Arabidopsis thaliana: one gene and its partners. The protein of the gene in region 2 binds, or shares a complex with, the protein of the main gene of each other region. Each region holds a gene or a part of one and is shown on either strand. Other genes may lie near its edges. The genes, in order: PTAC14, MRL7, PTAC7 and PTAC12.

Region 1 (5,409 bases), 3.2 Mb from region 2:
TGTTCGATAATTGATAATCTATAATTAAAAATGTTAATATTCTACTGAACGAGATTCTAAATCCAAAAGAATGAGACAAAGGAATTATCTTCGATCCACCAAAAAGATCAAGATGCTTATTTTTTTTTATTTTTTTTTGTCTATTGTTTGGTTGATTTATACTTTAATTAATCTTAAATTCAAAGGAATAATTTCATTATGCATGGCAAGAATTATGAAACGCATAGTGGTCTTACTTCAAAAATAAAATATTCAACATATTGAAGATAATTATTAAGAATCAAGTTAGTCAATGTAAAGTATCAAATAAGTAGCCAAAGGTAAGAAATAGATTGCTTATGGTTCTGTATAACTCAGAGTAGGTTTGTTTGGTTTGGACCGTAACTTTTTTTGAAAATAGTAATGTTAGACAAAGAGTAGAAGAAACGCAATATGATTTGATTGATTAGTGTAACCACAAGGTTAATAAATAGTATAAGTAATAATCAATTATTGAGACTAATCAACATTATAGTTCGGCGTAAGAGACACAATTACCCTAAAACATTTGAGACACTAATCATGCTTAGGGACTAAAAACATGAACATGAATTAATCAAAAGAGAAAAAAAAAACACAGATGATTCCAAAGCGTTTGTTGGCTAATCAAACTCATTAAAGCAGCCAAGAAAAGAAGAGGTTATGATTTGTTTGTGATTGCGATTAAAACAAACTAACACACTTAGTCTAACTGTTCCATACAAATACATAACCTTACACTAAACAAAAAAAAAAACAGGAACCTTTCAATTACATGGTGCAGTTTCTAAGTAGCTCAAGGGAGTGAGCACCAAGTATGAATCTCACTCAGCTCATAATTATTTTTTGCTTGAATCAATAGAGTAACCGTTCTTGATAGATGTCAAGTGCCTTGATAATTTTTCCGATGAACATCTTTCTGTGCATTCTATACTTAACCGCTGTTGCAAATGTTGTCCTTGCTTCTGACATTGAATCTGTCACAACAACAAGAGGGAAAGCTTAAGTTTTAGTATATGAGCGATAATAGATAATAACACATTGGTGTATATATCTTTAGTGTAATACCTAGCAACTTCTGGTCTTGCTCTGCTGTTGTGGGATATTCCGCAAGCATCTTTCGACATTCATCTTGCAATTCTTTAACTGCTTTTCTTTCCGCACTCGGTATTGGAGGAAGATCTATGTCTGACCAAGTAGGTAATGTTCTTGCTGCAGCGATAACTGCTCCATCAACAAAAGTATCGCCCCTCGATAACTCGCCTGCCACAGATTTAGGTAACATTGGTGCTCATTTCTCCATCTTTTGTCAAGGAATAGAGAGGAAACAGAAGAAAAGGAACTTACTGTCATGGTAATATTCTTCAGGAAGACCATAAATATTGAAGACCGATAAAAAGGAATTTAAATGGATGCGAGAATCTCCAGAGAACTTTATAGCATCCCACGGATTCTGCAGCAGACCAGAAAAACTGAATAAACGAGAAAACTTGCAAAGGAAACATAGTTTGTGTAAGATGAATGTGATTGTCGTAAAAAGCATTACCACAGGAGTTGAGAAGCCGTATCTTTCCATAAGCATGTTGTTTTTCTGGCCTGGCATGTAATTAATCGTCATCTGTGAAAAGCATTATAAGAAGATAGATAAAGCAGTGAAGTGAGGCTGACACTTAGGAACATTTGAGTCTCTTACCTCTTCGCCTTTCTTAATGTCTTGACCAGCATTTGACATAACCTCCAGCATGCGATCTTTAGGACGCCAATGTAGGAAACAGTTTGGTTCAAATGAGTGGTTTAGCATGTCTGCAGAGAATGATCAATCGTGAGATTCTTATTTAGTTCCTCAACAAAAAGTTCATTGATACTAAATCTTAATTTATCAATAACTACACAACATGCTCTTCCTTACCAGCATAAGGAATCATCATATTTAATTCCTGAACCAAAGCACCGACCCTAGTTTGCATACTGATGCATCGTGTCTGTGCCATACTAACCGCCCATATGAATCTTTCTGGATCCTCGGCAAGCCTTTTGATTTTGAGAGGAACACCTGAATGCTGAGACGGAATACAATTTGCCAATGAAAAACAAAGCAATAACCAAATGTCAAGATATACTGGAAACACATATATAAGGCCTCATTACCCAATTCTTTTCCCAAAAATCTAGGATTCGTTTCTGTTGTTGTCTGATAGTTGAAACAAGATCAGGATCTTGAAGCTCCGCAAGGTCTTCCTATAGAAAAACACACAGAATTAGATATCATCAAGCATTAGTTTAAAGACACAAGTAAATGTGACCAGTTTCAAATGGCAATCATATCAATTCAATCCACCTCTGTAGCTAAAAGCAAGCTGCTGCACTCATCAGCAGCCGGCAGGAAATCGCCATAGAGCCGCCAGAAGTGATCATCTCGATCAAAAGAGAATAACAGAAGACACGCTAATCTGATATCCCAATCAATCTGTAAGCACAAATGTGAAAGGACTTTGAGAAAGATAAGAACTTTCGAGTTGATGATATCGAAATAGCACAAATGTGTTACTACCTCAGGATCAGTCGAGTTAATGATATCGAAAATAGGATGACCAATTGGTACAATATCAGGGAAAAACATCCAAGGGTGCTTCTGTCTAATGGTTATCATCAGTTCAAGAGGAATCTCCATAATCACCTGCAGAGAGAAAAGAAAACAAAATAATCTAAAGAGAAGAACAAAACAAAAAGTTGTCAACTTTTTAACTAAGAAGACTGACTCTAGCTCGACGGCGAGGTTCGATATCCTTAGAAGCATAGACACCAAAACCATCTGGACCTTCTTTAAACTCAACTCCATAAGCTCTCACACTTCGAACATAGCCAATTTTGTAGAAATCCGGATCTGCTGTCTCCAGCTAGTGAAGAAACAAAAGACAAAAACCCTAAATCAATCTCACATATGAGGGAAATGCACAGAATTGTCTAAAGTTACTGCCGTTAGAACTCATTTGTACCCTACATCAATCTCACAGATGAGGGCAATGCACAAGATTGTCTAAAGTTTCTGCCTTAAGAAGTCCCCTATATCAATCTCACAGATGGAGGCAATGCACAGAATTGTCTAAAGTTACTGCCTTAAGAACTCATATGTACCCTAAATCAATATCACATATGGGGGCAATGAACAGAATTGTCTAAAGGTACTACCTTTAGAACTCATTTGTACTCTAAATCAATCTCCCAGATAGGGGCAATGCAAAGAATTGTCAAAGGTACTGCCTTTTAGAACTCTATAAACCCTAAAACACTCAAAACTGAAAATCCTAACCTCGGACGAGGAAGATTCTTCGGAAGCAGGAGATTGAAACAGAGGGAAAGGTTGTGTCTCAATAGACGCAACTTTGATGGGTCGTACACCATTTTGTCTGTCTCTTAATAAATTGCTTCTGGGTCTTGGTGCTGACACAATTCCGTTGCAGAAACCCTTTGTCCGACCGGAAAAAACATGAGGAGTACTCAGAAAATTCAGACAAAGACAGACACACACACACACACATGACATAGAAACATTAGGTGATACAGAGAGATAAGATTAAGAACCTGAGGTTTGGAGATAAAGGTGTTGGTCAGGAACTGAAGAGAGACTGAAGAAGCCATTCCTCAACAGAAGAAAATGGGTTTAGCAGAGGGAGACGAAGATCGTTATCCTTTGTTTTCAAGATTTTAACTCTTAGTTTACGATATAATTTATTTGGAATAATATGTTGCAAGAAGCTTTCATAGCTCAGTTGGTTAGAGCACCCGTTTAGTAAGCGGGAGGTCTTGAGTTCAACTCTCAATGAAAGCAATATTTGTTTTATTTTCTTCAAAAGTCTCTTTACATCCAAATTATTTATTTTTTTGCCATGAAAATATACACAACTCTATCTCACTCTTTTATTTTTACAGTATAATTCATATGTACATTAATTGATCTCAAACATTTCTTTGTGTATGACAGTTTTGGTTACTTTGGTCATATACTATTAGAGTGTAAAAGGCTCGGCTTCTGATGGAACTTCACGAGCTCTTTGGCTCTCAAGTGGCATATACTGTGACATGATCGTCATAATCTCTGAGTCCATGTAAGACTGTTAATAGGAACACCAAAGAAAAGTTAGTTTGGTAATCCTAAAACCGTTATTAAGTACAAAAATGCTTTTGTGGAATCAGAAAGAGTAGTAGTACCCTGAACCGGTATTTGTAGAATATATAACCAGCTAAACCGGCTACTGCAACGATAGCCAGTATCAAGAATGTGAGCCACCATGCCGTTTTGGATCCATATCTCTCTGTAACAAACAATCATCAATGTATATTAATTAGATACTGTTATGGAATTTGAGTACTCTTAAATCTTGATTGATAAAATTTTACCTATACAAGTATCTTGATCGTTTATGTAAAGCCGGTCACCAGAACAGCTGCATTTGTATCCACCCCATGAGTTCTTGCATCTGCAACCGCTACATTGACATACCGAACGCTCTTTACATTCGTTAATATCTGCAATAGAGCCAAATCAGAAAACATAATTACATTGTTGGTAATATGATTATGTGGTTTCTTTCGAGATTTTAATCGATAAGTTAAGAGTTATGTACCTTCACACGTCAAACCGTCGCCTTGGAAACCTTCAGGACATTTGCAGCCAGTAGATACAGAGTCCTAATTTTTCATAAATAACAAAGAGATGATTGAACTGAAAACAAGAACTTTGTAAGGGAGGGTTTGGCTTATGACAAGAGAATCACTAAACTGAGCAAGCAGAGAAAGTTAAGCCGTTCCTTGTGTCAGACCAGCAACCTCCATTGTTCATAGTACACCTCGCAGGCCCATAAGCTGCAAAGCTCAATCACAAACCAGAGACTATTCAAGAAACCGGTCTCAACATTTGAGAGCTATGTTGTGTGAAATGTGTGAACAACTTACGTGTACATGAAGTGTACCCGTCTCCTTTATATTGAACACCTTTTACAACCGGACACTCGCAGAGTCTTCCTCTGAATGTGTCCTGATCAAACAAAAAAGATTCAAGTATTATAGGACTAGAAAATATCTCTCTAGATTTTCACATTTTCTCTAGTTTTCAAAACAATTCCAAACAAATTGATACTGATATTCAATATAGTGGTGAGATGTGATGTGGTAAGCTCGGTTTTACGACATACTTGACAAGCAGTGATGTTTGCTTTTGTATCCTGCCAGCAACCACCATTGTTTTCAAGGCACTCATTTGTCTCTAGACCTGTGTTTAAGCAAATGGCAGGCTCCGATGTTTCATTAAAACCAGCGCATATCGCCTTTAAAACCGCGGTTCTCTCCAATCTCCCTTCACAATTGCAACCAATAACAACAGAAACTTCAGCA
Region 2 (3,956 bases):
TTAATGCCCGGTCCTTGGTAATTTAATATTTTTTTGAATTGCAGATGAAGGAGCATATTGACAGCACAGAAGCCTACGTGAAGATACTACAGAATAGTAGACGTAACGGACTGATCCACCTAATGATGCTTGTGAATATAGGCAATTATGCAATAACTGCAGGGACAGTGGTGGTCAACTTGTTCGGTATGAATATACCAATTGGATTGTATAGCACACCTGACATCTTTGGTTACGTTGTGTGGGCTGTCGTTGCGCTTTGCATTGTGCTTTTCATAGTCACCGTTGGTTACGCCAAGTGGAAGAAGCTACTTGACTGATAAGAGACTAAACACATTAGGTTTAGTCATTATGAGATTAGCTTTGTGGAATTCATTTTTTTTTTAGTTTGCTTTTTCTTATTGATTCAATGCTTTTGTTTTTATGTTATGGATTTTTGCATTAATAGTTTATCCTTCAAACAATTTTTCTATAAAAGGAGCTGGCTTCTTGATATATGTATGCATCATTGGTTACGAATCAACGTGTTAGGGAAAGCACAGATTGACGAGTAAAATCCATTACTTGGGAACAAGTTTATATTTGCATAGAACATACAAAAATGTTAACAATCTATGAGTGAAGTTTATGTAAATTTTCCTAGACTGACCTTTTGAGTGAAACTACTCTATGCCCGTTACAAACTAACAGTACGGGGTTACATTAGCCTTGTCGACACACGAAGGCCTCTTCGCTTTATAGTAGAAATGCGCAATCATATGAACCAATTCATCCGCCGTGCGAAAGTCTGCATCAAGTTCAATACGCTATGATAATCTATTGCTCACACATATTGCAAAAAAACATGAAAACAACGTTAGCAACATAGCTTATCACCTTTCTCCCTGTACAGAATCCGGTTTCCGCGTAAGAAGAGAATCTGTGGGCATTCCTTAGCTTTAAGAGCATATGCCAAATCTGTCTCGATGTTCAGGTCAATCTTAACCGCCTGTTTCATAAAACATGGTGATTCTTGTTAACAGAGAGCAGCCACATTAACATGTAATCACACCAAGAGAGATTAGTACACAAAGAGTAATGTTCAAGTTAAAACTGCAACTAGAGAAGGCTTTCGACATACCCGTGGAGGTAATCGATCTTTCGCATCCCAATAAACTTTGATAGCTTTCTCAAGCTCCTTCAATGTCTTCCAGTTATCACTAGCTCTATAAAACGCACAACAACTCAAAAAATTATTCCAACAGTAGTAGATTTTGGTCACTCTAAGAACAAGTTTCAGTTTTTATACTCATTGCAGTTAATTGATCATGGAATCTAACTCAAATGGCTCTTTCAACTTGTAATCATAGTCTAGATAATGTTGTGAAGGAAAAAGAACAAAGCTTTCATAGTTCTACTATGCACACCAAGTGTTTGTGAAAATTCGTCAATGAAATAACAAAGCTTATACCTTTTGTATCGCTCGAATACAAGGACAACGAGTGGACTAGGATGAAAAGCAAAGCTTTCCCATTCCAAACAATTGATCTCCTTGACCCAACTATCATCAATCTCACCTTCCCAATCAATCTCACTCCCATCATCTCCAACCACGTTTTTGATTGGATGTGTATCGAAATACTCCGAAGCTTTGATTCCCCATCCAACGTCTGTATCTACTGGCCAATCTGGATCTTCCTCTTCCACCACCATCTCTTCTTCTTCTTCCTCTTCTTCATCAACGCCTCTGTCTTTGATGAAATTCGCCTTCTCCTTGTTCTCAAAAACCTCCGGATTCTGCTCCTTTATGGTGGAGAAAGTACGCTCGAGGGAGCTTCTCACGTAATCTTCCACAGCGTCTGCTTCACTCCGCCGCCCACGCTTCGATTTACGCGGGACCTTTGTCGGAAACTTTTCATTGTTCTCGGTTTCAGCAATTGGCGTAACTGCTTCCTTATTTTTGCGACGGGACCGAGTTTGATTTTTGGATTCAGGGTCTAGTACGGAATCAGACGAAACAGCGGCGAAGCGTTTCACGCTCCGGGATGATATAGTCACCGGGAAAACAAATAGTGGGCTGCGATGCATATCAGAGAAGCTCGAATTCAAGCCGGTGAGAAGCATAGAAGATCTTGGCGCGGAGCAAGCAACAGCGAAGAAACTCATTTCTCTCGTTTCCTAAATTCAAAACGAAATTCGCAGAAATTTTTGGTAACTGAGTTTTTGCTCTTATAATCCACTTTGTCTGTATAATCCCGGTTTGGATTATTTCGGTTTGTGTTACTGTCCTTGATTTGGATCGGTTATCTTTCCCGATACTTGGTTTAGTTTATATAATCGAAACAGCGTCGTTTGAAATATTCATAATTTCATATACCTAGCTCCTCGCCTCCGTTAATGAAAAATTTGAAATATTTTTGGCAAATTTTAAAGTTGGATATGTTCTTTTTTTGGCATTTTCCCATTTCGTTATGTGATCACAATATCCATAATGTGATCACAAATTAGAAACATTGATAAAATATGTAAACTTTACATAGTCATAAGATCCTAAAATGGAATATTTTCTGACCTCAAAATGTAAACTCGTTAACAGTACACATACTAGTGTTTAAATATAATTTGTATGCAAGAAGAAGAAGCAGACACGATATGGAGAAGATTATTTTGGGATGCATTGTGTTTTTGTTGGTGTTCTGTGCCGTGTTGATTTGTCGTCTCTTACGTTACCTTTGTGAAAAACGGTGTGAAGAACCTAATAAGGTTTCGCACACACAAGAAAAAGAATCTAATAAGGATGACGTATTAATTCGAGGTACGTCTATTGTCTAACTGTTTTGTTTCGAGCTAATATATAACTTTTCTACAAAGTGAATTTTTCGATTCTATTTCTAATCTTTTAGTATCATGACAGCCTCGAAGACACAAACATATAGACCGCCTCAGGTGACGACGGTGTAGCCCGAAACCCGTAAACAAAAAGAACAACGTCTTTTCTACAATCAATTAAATATTTTTCACTTACCTTCAAGAAAAGTTTTTGTTTTGTGAAATAAAAGAAAAGTTTTTAGTGATTGTTTTTGACATTGTTCTCTTATTGTTTTTATTTTTATCCAAGGTATATTCTTATAAAGTTAATTGTTTGCGGTCTAATTTATTACATAGTACGATCTTTGTCAATGGGTGGAAGATATAAAGAAATTCTTCCTATAGTTTAGAATGTGTGAGTAAGATAAAATCGGAGTTCATAAACTCGATTGCCAAATCTTTGGGGTTAAGAAGGCTCAGTTTAGACGAAATAAATTTATACAAGTTAGAATAGATGATATTGTTAAATTGTTGGATCATATGGAATTCACAAATTAAAGCCTAACACGTGGTCACTGATCACTGGTTTCACATGCATTAAGACTCGTGGCCCATTGAAAACTGCAATGTTTTATTGTATAGTTGGTTCCATGTGTGAATGTAATTTTGTTTTGTGTTTCTTTTATATAGTTTGCATAAAAGCATGTGTTTTTATCTTCTTTATTAATAAGAAGTAAAAGAATTCTCGATTTCTTACACCCAATCTGTTACAGTTACACAGTACACATATATCTTCTTGTAGGTATTTTCATTTTTCAGTGACGTATTAATATTTGTAAAATGGAACTTCGATGACTCAAAATGTAAATATGTGTACTTTCTTTCTTGAACTCTCTTTTATGGACCTCACACCAATTTCATTGAGGTATGCAATACTTTTTCACTGAGGAATATTTTAACGAGTCTACTCATAAATCTCATCATATAAATTTGTTTTGGCATTAAGTTATTTTTATTATTGGTCGTCTCACGTCTGCCATGTTATTATGACATATATTCATAATATATATTAAAGATTGATATGAATATTAACTTACTAAGTATGGATGAGATGTTTTTGATAAATATATCTAAATGATGTAATTAACCATATATTAAACTTCAAATTT
Region 3 (3,974 bases), on a different chromosome or scaffold from region 2:
ACCGCAAGGTATTAACAATCACGGTTCTAAAAGCGTTATATATTTGATTACAAATATGCATCAAAACTAAAAACAAAAAGATATAAAACTTGTTGATTTAAAAAGGTTAAAGAGATGGTCATGAATGGAAGAAGAATCGATCTGGAGATGGACTACGCTGGGCCGCATCTAAGACCTCCCAAGCCATCCGACCCTACAATTCCAGGAACACAAGTACGTGCCCTATAGCAAAAATGAAGTATTACGAAAAGTGTCTTCCTTTTTTAATAGTGTATGAGTTTGGTTTTGAAAGGTTGATGAGGTTGTGACAAAGGAACCAACTGTCTATAACAAAGAAGACTATGGGGACTGGTCTCCAAGACCAATCCCAAAACGACCAATGCCATATGTACCTCCTCCTCCTCCTCCACCGACACGACGACCTCCTTTCACCACAAATCACTAGACCGTTACTTTTACTAAACTCTTGTCATTAGACTTTCGTCTTCATCTAGTAAATCTAAATAAATAAAATGAAATTTGGCCAAGAAAACAACAAAGCTGTGAATGCATTGATTTGGTTTTGGTAATACAAGAACAAAAGCTGTAAAGTACATTGACACTTTTTGTTATAATATATCAAGTGTAGTACTCCAACAAATAGCCAGGACCGGGTTTGTAAGGATCAGCTTCTACATAAGCCTCAGGGCGATCAAAGCCGAGATCGTTCACACGGTTGCTTAGAACATGAAAGATGGCTTTTTTGGAACCTCCATATTCGTCTCTGTTCTTGTCCACGTACTCTGTTGCTTCAGCTGCTACGCTATTGACAAATTCAAACCGATTGTCTTCCCTCAAAAGAAGCTGCTCTATGTCCATTGTCATTACCTTCCCAACTTCTCTTATCTTCCTTACTTGTTCTTCCACAAATGGAACTCTTTGCATTTTGTAACGCAACATATCGTCCTTCTTCGTCTACAGACAAAACAGGAGAACGACATAGAGAGATTAAAAGCGGGACAAATATAAACAAAGATTTTGCATTGTTCTGGCTTTGGTAATTATTGAAATCTCAAAACCTCATGAACCTGATAGGATCAAACAACAGAAACTGATAGTTTGTAGAATATAGTACAAGTAAAAAGATCACACTAATATTTTATGTAATGTGTAACTCCCACCTAAAAATCCCAGTATCTCAGATAAGACAATCTCCAATTTCTTGCATGTGCCATAGAGATAAGACCATGGTTACTTGAATATATATAAGTAAACACTAACTAGAGGTAAAAAGCCATGTTTCTTTAAGTTCATCAACAGTATAAGAACTAAAGCTAGCGTCTGAAATGAGCATAGTTCAACAAAGACACTTTTGAAACAGGTGTGTAAGCTAATTTGGAATCAAGAAGGGTAAACTAGAAATCGCAAAAACTCAGAGAAGACAATCTCCATCTCTCCTTCTATGCATCATATCAATTACTATGACTAAGTAAAGACTAACTAGAGTTAATAGTCATGCCTCATCAGTGAGTTAAAGCTAATCTGTGATCCTACTAAAAATTGCAACTTTTTAGAAATGTCGTCTCCAAGCAAAGAAAAACCCTTATTTTGATTCCTGATTCGACTTATGTCATAAACATGAAACTGGAAAATCACCAAAATATCAAGTTTAGTACTTACCAATGTTCTCCTCCGCCAAACACGGCGTCCATTATCATCTCTCTGAATCCCACAAGAAACCTGAAAAAATCAACCAGATTCACTCAAAACTCTCCCCCAAAAACCCACAAATTCGTATATATATCAACCATTCAAAACCTGAGACTGAAATGTGCATCGCAAATTCCCACTTCTCGTATCAATAATCTGAATATACAATAATTGAAAATGAGAAATCACATTGACATCAAAGGATGATTATGAGAGAAGCAAAGGAGGGATTTTTACAGGTAAAATCGAAGATGGAGAAGAACAGGTGAAGGAAGCCATTGATACACAGTGAATAGATAGAACCGGATCCTATTTTATATGTAAGCTTCTCCGGTTCGGTTTAATGGTTTATCTTTGGTTGTGTTCGTATTTGGACAAATCATTCCTAACCGAACCGGGCATTTTTTTTTCTCGTCATTTTATCTATACAATAATAATTCAACTTGCACAAAAAAAAAATCTAAAACAAATCAAAACTAACAACAAATCTAAAATCATATAATTTTACTTGGTACACAAAAATAATATTTTTCAGAAATCAATCAATCTAATAATAGTTAGTGGGAACCCTCTATTGTGACTTTGTGAGCTATGTATATACATAAGACATTACAAGATGGAACCTCAACATAGTTGATAAGCAAAGAAATTAACTCTATCGATCACCGGATGAGAAAATGGCTTCTAGGAATCATCTCTTAATATGTTGTGTTCTCTTAGCTATGATCATGATCGGGCATGCTCAAACCAACCGGAAACTTCTTGACGATAATGTACCATCATCTTATTTTCCATCGATGGAGTCTCGTCAGGTTTTTCTTCCTTCTTCTCATCGTTCACTTGTTGCTGAGCATTACGACAGATCACCACCTCCACCACCACCCAAAAGATCAGAAGTTGAACCCCAAACTGATGGTGTCTAGACCATTGAGTGATGGTGAGAATCGGCCCTGATGAAAAGACTCGTGAGTTGGTACCATGTTTTGAAAGAGCATACATATGTTTTGATGTTTGGTTTTATGATCCGGTTTATAAGAGCTACCTAATTTTTGAAGGCTTGGTTTGATTTAGTTTTCTTTGCTTTCTAAAGTAAAATCTCCGGAAAAGTTGTCTCTGTTTTTTTCTTCTTTATTTTTATCTGTATACGTGTACTTCATTCTTGGTGACAATAAATTTGACTTGTTTCAAATTAATTAATGTAATATTTGTAAATGGTAAGTTAATACAACAGAAAAGTCGATGATACTATCTTTTTGAATAGGTAGATTTACCGAACGAATACCACATTACCACGGCTTAAAAAAAAAAAAAGAAAAAAGGGAGGATTAGTCTCAAACATTCTTAATCAATTTCAAAAACTGGATAAATAAAAGCAAAAGTTTCAAAAACATAATTATTCTTGCAACAGTAATTGATGCAAAATATATATTAAACTGTCAAATAATATTTCGAGAACGAAATTGTATATATAAACTTGCTGTTAATTTGGTTAAAATCGGCAGTAAAATAATTCACAGCAAGTTTTACTACGCTTGTAAACAAAACTGCATTCACACTCTGACAGTCATAAGGTATACACAAAATCATAGAATCATGGACATATTTTGTAACACATATATTGACAATTTGACATTACGTAAATGCAATTAAAACTGGAATGTAATTTCCGGTTTACCAGTCAACATACAAAACCAGCTTTCGGTTTAATATTCGTCCAAATAAGTGTAGAGCGTATCGTCCTTCTTTGTTTTGCGTCGGCTAAGTAGCGCCTTTAGCAGCCGTTTGCTCTTGCTCGGTTGTTGTTGATGCTCTGGTTCTTTCTGAGCTTCTTTCTCGAACGCAACCCGAACCGAAGCCGATCTTCTTGGTTCTGACGGATACTGAGCCAGAAAATATCAAGAATCAACCGTTAGAGATAGAGCCTAGAAGTGAGTGTTTTTGAAATGTAACCGAAGCTTACCCGTTTAGGAGTTGGAGTTACCGCTCTACTCTTGCTCGGGGTTGTTGGCCGGCTGATTGATGACGGTCGGATAGCAACCGAACCAGATCTTAGCAGCGGAAACCGATGTGGTGATACTGCTCGCTTATCTATTTTACCATGCACACTGTTTAAAGGTTCTGTTTACATATTAAGCCAAAAACGGCAATTTCAAGGTGAAGCTGTCTTTTACCTTGTTCTTTCTTTGGTGCGGTGGCGATAGAGGAGAACGAAAAGGTTGCTGAACGTTGAGGTTTCCGTTGAGAGGGAGACTGAAGTATCGGTTTTCTGCAAAAAGCGATAAAAG
Region 4 (5,154 bases), on a different chromosome or scaffold from region 2:
GAGTCATAACAGCCCCAATCCTCTTTGCCATGGAAGAGTTTCCTCAACTACGCGAAGTTGTTGATCAAGTTGAAAAAGATCCTAGGAATGTTGACATTGTAAGTTTGAAAGAAACAAATCTCCTAAAATCTATAATATGTTTTCATAGTCTCTAATACTATTATATCACACAGGCTTTAGAGTATCTTGGGAAGAGCAAGGGAATACAGAGGGCAAGAGAATTAGCCATGGAACATGCGAATCTAGCAGCAGCTGCAATCGGGTCTCTACCTGAAACAGACAATGAAGATGTCAAAAGATCGAGGCGGGCACTTATTGACTTGACCCATAGAGTCATCACCAGAAACAAGTGAGATTAAGTAATGTTTCTCTCTATACACCAAAACATTCCTCATTTCATTTGTAGGATTTTGTTGGTCCAATTCGTTTCACGAAACAATAATGTTTGACAAGCTGTGGCTTTGGTTTTAAACTACACATGACAAAAAAAGGAGACAGATACTAATTGTGAAATCATATTCCTTGCGAATTCGGTTTAGGTCTTGTTTTAACAGATTAAACCGTCTCAAGCTGAACTAAACAGGATGCAGTACAGTTAACAAATCACTTTCAAAACTCTATAAATTCAATCAAAAATATTTGAATTCCATATGATACAAATCACTTGCAAAACTCAAATCCACTCCTAAATGATATCATCCCTTCCAAGTATACAAGCAAAACCAGTGAAGAAAAAGTTGCCCTAAATAACGTCTTTACATAAGAAATACGAAAACCAGGTTTAAGGATCAGTCTCCTCTTCAAAGTCCATGAGAAAATCAGTTAAGTTCTCAGCATCATCCACGGCCTCGTCTAGAGACATCCGACCTTCCTTCTTTGGTTTAGGCTGTTTAAGAAACCAAGCTCATAACATCAACACACCACACAAGACATATAATGTGGCTCAAGTTGAATGTGACTTTACCTTGGCGGTGCGAAGCTCAGGGGTTTCCTTCAAGACACTCCAGTTCCTCGGCACTTTCTCGTCGTCTTTTTCTACATCTGCATCGTCTTCGTCGTCCTGTCAAAAAATGTCCGGAGATGTTTCAGAGCATGATACATCAAGAAACAATAAAGAAGAAGAGGATCTGATGTAATCGATGATACTCACATCGTTTTCACCAATATCAACAGCTTGTGCCATTGCATCATCCATGTCAGGTACCTGCATTCATACAATTTATCGAACATATCAAGCGAAACCCTGAAATCTCACAATCAGAGTTGTGTCAAAGGAAATGAAAGATTGGTCACTTTACCTCGAGCTGCTCGGTTTTCTCTTTTGTCAGTAGTGCTTCATGCATCTCTCTTGAGATGACTTTGCCATTCTGATCAAATCAGAAACAAAGAAAACAATCAGACCAAGAAAGAAAAAGAATAGAACTTTGAGCAAAGCAGACTAACCTCCTTTAGATAAGAGAGCATATTTGGTGTAGGCTCATGAAAATCAGGTCCTCTGAAATCCATAACCGCATTAGGATCTTGAATGTAGTTAATTGTCGGGTAAACTGGATCCCCGCCCCAAACTGCAAGAAACCGAGAATGTTAGTCGAACGATTGAATATCCATGATGAGTTAGTTCAAACTTCAACGGTCAAAGTTTCTTACTTTGCTTAATTTGATCCTCCCTCATCCGCATTGCCAATGGATCTCTCTTGATCCTAATATCAGTTCCCATCATTATCCGGTATTCTCTATCTGTTTGATGAGAGAACATCTCAATCAGTTGTGTGTTTTCATCTTCACCTGTCTCTTCAAAATGTTTTTGTACAGCTTCTCTTGACGTGTCTCTCTTCCATGCTTTAACCCATTCAGAATAAAAAGCCATTGGACCTTCTTTCGCTAATCTCTCTCGCTCAGCTTGCAGCCTGAGAGAAAGAAAACTCGAAAGAAAATCCTAATAAAACAGATTTTCACTTGAAAGTTCGTTAGATCAATATACCTCTCTTCCTTGAAAAGATGCCTTCTTGCTCTATAAAGAGAAGTTTCTGTGAGTGTTGGTTCTTCCCCATAGAGCTTCACTTGTCCTGTTTCTGCCATTGCCTTGAGGAAAACCTGCATCAACAACAAAAAAAAATACCATAATGGATCAAACATTGGGGAAACACACACATGTTTAAACCTGAAATCATTGTGATGACTAACCGTTTCAACATCAGGACGTCTTCTTTGCCATCTTGACCATTGTTCTTTCTCCGGTTTCCTCCAGTTCCACCACGATTCATCGCTCGTGAGTGTCTTTTCAATTTGTTTCTTTTTCGTAGGATCAATGAAAGGATGTGGCCTTCCAAGCTTTTTGTCTAATTCAAAACCAGTCTCCTCTTCTTCTCTCTCAAATTCATTCTTATAGGTAACAAACCCATCCGAGGAATCATTTTCCTCTTCTTCAGAGCTATCCTCAGAATCGGATACTTCGTCATTCGTTTCAACAGTCACATTCTCCTCAGTAGCTTTCCTATTCTTCTTTCTCCTACTTCCAGGATTCTTTCCATAGGAAGGAAAACTCGAAGACTCACCAGCTGGTTGAGGAGCTCTAGCAGCTCTAACCCGGCTCGAAGTTCCTTCAGGCCAATAATCCTCACCTGGAATACTAGCCCGAGCCCCGGACGCTGGCTCAAGCTTCCCAGAAGTTGAATCCATATAACTATGGTAAGGATGCCTCTCAACAGTCACATACTCAAATCCTTCTTCACTCTTCTTAGACCCTTCACTTACATCACCATCTCCATCCTCTTTCTTGCATTTGATACAATGTCGCAAAGACCGATCCCTAGAAGTAATCCCAGCATGCAATGTCTTGAGTGGAAACCCACATTTAACCCGTCTCTACATACATAAACAAACTTTTACCAGTTTGACATCTTGAAACAAGCTAAAATGTTCACTATCTCTAAATTAGATAAGTTTGGATCAGAACAAGAAACTTGATGTGTAAGAACCAACCTGCACAATACAATTACTGGACTTTCCACTGTCTGTGCATACTTGACCTCGGTAGAGCCAGGTGGTGGTTGATATTGACGCCATTTACACTCTTTCTACTTCTCACTGTATCATTTACAAAAACAACCGATTCAATTATGCTCAGAATCAGTTTCAAACTAGTACAAAACATAAAACCCAGATAAGAAGAACCTGATACAACAAATTGTCCATAACAAGGTACGATTTTTTTGGGCATTTTTACAAACGCTTCACACTCGAAGTTGAGGAGAAAAAGACTAACCTTTTTGTTTTACCAGGAGATTATGTAGGAAGAGGGTTTTCTATCATGGAGCTTGATTTTGAAGGGGGTTTTGGCTTCAAAAGGTTTTCACTTGTCAGTTTTTGGGTTTATCCATTTATCTCCTCCTGCGTTTATTAACATATTCTGGTGACGGCAAAATCTCTAGATTTCACGACGCGCCGGTATTAGAACGGGAATTTGTGAAGAGAAAGTATATGGGCTTGGTATATCTAACTAAGGCCCAGTATTAATGGATCTTTGAGAAATTGTGAGCTTGAAGTCTCTCTTGGGCTTTAACAAACACTTCCAAGAAGAACAAAACATCTTTTTCTTTTTTGGCAAAACATCTTCTAAACAGTTTATTATATTGATATACTTTCAAATAAAATCAATATGTGATTTGATCATTTAAAACATGCCTTAACACAAAAGATATATGGAAGAATGTTTATCGAAGTATGCATGTGAACACATCTTAGTTTTGTTAATAGATTTGCAATTTACAATTGCGATTATACAATTTTTAGATAGTTCTCTCCGTAATGGATTAATATAGTGGACTAGAGGAACATGTTACACAAAAAACATCAATCATTGTACCTTTAAGTGAATAAATACTTGTATATGATTTGTACTTCAGCGTGTGTACGTACTTGTCTAAGACACTATAGAAGGAAGAAGGTTTGGACCCAACGTGAATGGCAATTGGCTAATGTGCTAATATGGTCTGAACCAATATTAAATGGGTCTGACCAGACACATCATAGACATTACGGTATCTATCACAGGCCTATTTTAACCTAATATCCTACACTTTTTATACATTAATACTACTATTGCTTACTTCAAACTTGCTAAACGACGATAATATTTATTTCTAGGGACCAAACATATAATTGTTTTTTTGGTTTTCTGAAATTTGGCAGACGTAGACCACGTAAGACTATACCACAAAGGTCTGACTAGGCACAAGTTTCGCTGACCCGCACGCGCCTAACGTCACCTTTTGAACTATTCGTGCAACGAGCGAGACTATCCATGCGGCGTCGTTTTTTCCCAACTTCCTCTTCCTCTCGTATTGTCAAACGGTCAAACCTATACTCCTACATAAGAAAAAAAGAATCAGCAGCATATAATAGCAACATTTGAAACTTCATAAGCATATATAAAGCTAGAGATGCAAACTAAAGACAAACAATATAGCAGTTTCGAATTATATAATAGATACAATAAATAAAAAAATAAAAAAAGAATAACAACCTTTTATCAAAAATAATACTGTAATAATAATAATTTGGATACTATTACTATCTTTTCGAGTTTGCTATTTTACATAAAACAATATGTCAGGGAAAAGAATCTCAAAGCACTAAAAAAAACTGTAATTTGATGCTTTTGGTGACCGTTAATAAATGAGTGGCTAATTGGAAATCTCGTCAAACTTTTTCTGCGACATAATTCACTTCCACAAGTAATTGGAACAGAATCTCACAAGTGGCGACGTGTACTTACCTCCACATGGCACCTATCCGTTCGCTAAAAATATACTCCATGTATAGATGTGTGTAATATTACATGTGTATAAAAGCGACGACGAGGATAATCACCTCGATGAGTATTTGAGTAGATGTGGACTTGTCATGAACATTTTAGCAGAGAGACAATGCATGCATACAAACAGAGAACTAACAAATTTCTTTAGTTTTTTACCATTCGTAACTTAAAAAGTTTATTCTTTATTTACTTGTAATACACTTTTGTTAAATGTTACATAGAATAATCTCCGATTTATACATTATTTGATCAGTGATCATAGTTACTAGTATCTATTAGTTTATGGTATGTTTTGCCACTGTTGTTCAACAATGTTGCAATTCTTACAAAATTCT

What was found.
Region 1: MRL7 (region 2) and PTAC14 share a complex: the UniProt entries of both Arabidopsis thaliana proteins name them as parts of the transcriptionally active chromosome (TAC) complex.
Region 3: MRL7 (region 2) and PTAC7 share a complex: the UniProt entries of both Arabidopsis thaliana proteins name them as parts of the transcriptionally active chromosome (TAC) complex.
Region 4: MRL7 (region 2) and PTAC12 share a complex: the UniProt entries of both Arabidopsis thaliana proteins name them as parts of the transcriptionally active chromosome (TAC) complex.

Annotation. Positions count from the first base shown.
Region 1 is NC_003075.7:10,877,162-10,882,570, reverse strand, and holds PTAC14 (plastid transcriptionally active 14), read right to left. Parts: upstream 3,755-5,409; 5' UTR 3,658-3,754; coding exon 3,601-3,657; intron 3,546-3,600; exon of another isoform or gene 3,485-3,545; coding exon 3,329-3,484; intron 2,916-3,328; coding exon 2,778-2,915; intron 2,731-2,777; exon of another isoform or gene 2,696-2,730; coding exon 2,570-2,695; intron 2,486-2,569; coding exon 2,357-2,485; intron 2,257-2,356; coding exon 2,167-2,256; intron 2,079-2,166; coding exon 1,928-2,078; intron 1,822-1,927; coding exon 1,712-1,821; intron 1,637-1,711; coding exon 1,565-1,636; intron 1,472-1,564; coding exon 1,366-1,471; intron 1,282-1,365; coding exon 1,087-1,281; intron 996-1,086; coding exon 874-995; 3' UTR 519-873; downstream 1-518. Other genes in the region: VSR7 (VACUOLAR SORTING RECEPTOR 7), read right to left, coding at 4,026-4,130, 4,228-4,331, 4,417-4,545, 4,644-4,707, 4,799-4,881, 4,972-5,053, 5,211-5,371. UniProt on the Arabidopsis thaliana protein: Essential for chloroplast development, especially for thylakoid formation. Involved in plastid gene expression, probably by maintaining plastid-encoded RNA polymerase (PEP) activity.
Region 2 is NC_003075.7:14,124,684-14,128,639, forward strand, and holds MRL7 (polyadenylate-binding protein 2-binding protein), read right to left. Parts: upstream 2,400-3,956; 5' UTR 2,146-2,399; coding exon 1,451-2,145; intron 1,206-1,450; coding exon 1,121-1,205; intron 989-1,120; coding exon 877-988; intron 788-876; coding exon 684-787; 3' UTR 529-683; downstream 1-528. Other genes in the region: MGT5 (magnesium transport 5), read left to right, coding at 45-320. UniProt on the Arabidopsis thaliana protein: Plays an essential role in early steps of chloroplast development. Involved in the regulation of plastid gene expression. May positively regulate plastid-encoded RNA polymerase (PEP) activity through binding to FSD3 and CITRX/TRXZ.
Region 3 is NC_003076.8:8,275,744-8,279,717, reverse strand, and holds PTAC7 (plastid transcriptionally active7), read right to left. Parts: upstream 2,019-3,974; 5' UTR 1,969-2,018; coding exon 1,927-1,968; intron 1,846-1,926; coding exon 1,798-1,845; intron 1,720-1,797; coding exon 1,636-1,719; intron 955-1,635; coding exon 619-954; 3' UTR 524-618; downstream 1-523. Other genes in the region: AT5G24316 (proline-rich family protein), read left to right, coding at 1-8, 106-213, 293-445; AT5G24313 (uncharacterized protein), read left to right, coding at 2,367-2,612; ABIL3 (ABL interactor-like protein 3), read right to left, coding at 3,393-3,569, 3,650-3,777, 3,861-3,955. UniProt on the Arabidopsis thaliana protein: Essential for chloroplast development, especially for thylakoid formation. Involved in plastid gene expression, probably by maintaining plastid-encoded RNA polymerase (PEP) activity.
Region 4 is NC_003071.7:14,581,280-14,586,433, forward strand, and holds PTAC12 (plastid transcriptionally active 12), read right to left. Parts: upstream 3,519-5,154; 5' UTR 3,266-3,518; intron 3,088-3,265; 5' UTR 3,067-3,087; coding exon 2,983-3,066; intron 2,866-2,982; coding exon 2,185-2,865; intron 2,095-2,184; coding exon 1,982-2,094; intron 1,908-1,981; coding exon 1,648-1,907; intron 1,566-1,647; coding exon 1,444-1,565; intron 1,368-1,443; coding exon 1,299-1,367; intron 1,205-1,298; coding exon 1,151-1,204; intron 1,061-1,150; coding exon 965-1,060; intron 887-964; coding exon 782-886; 3' UTR 556-781; downstream 1-555. Other genes in the region: GPS1 (geranyl diphosphate synthase 1), read left to right, coding at 1-98, 174-353. UniProt on the Arabidopsis thaliana protein: Involved in plastid gene expression. Acidic transcriptional coactivator necessary for the transactivation of many PIFs target genes (class B genes), particularly during the regulation of hypocotyl growth.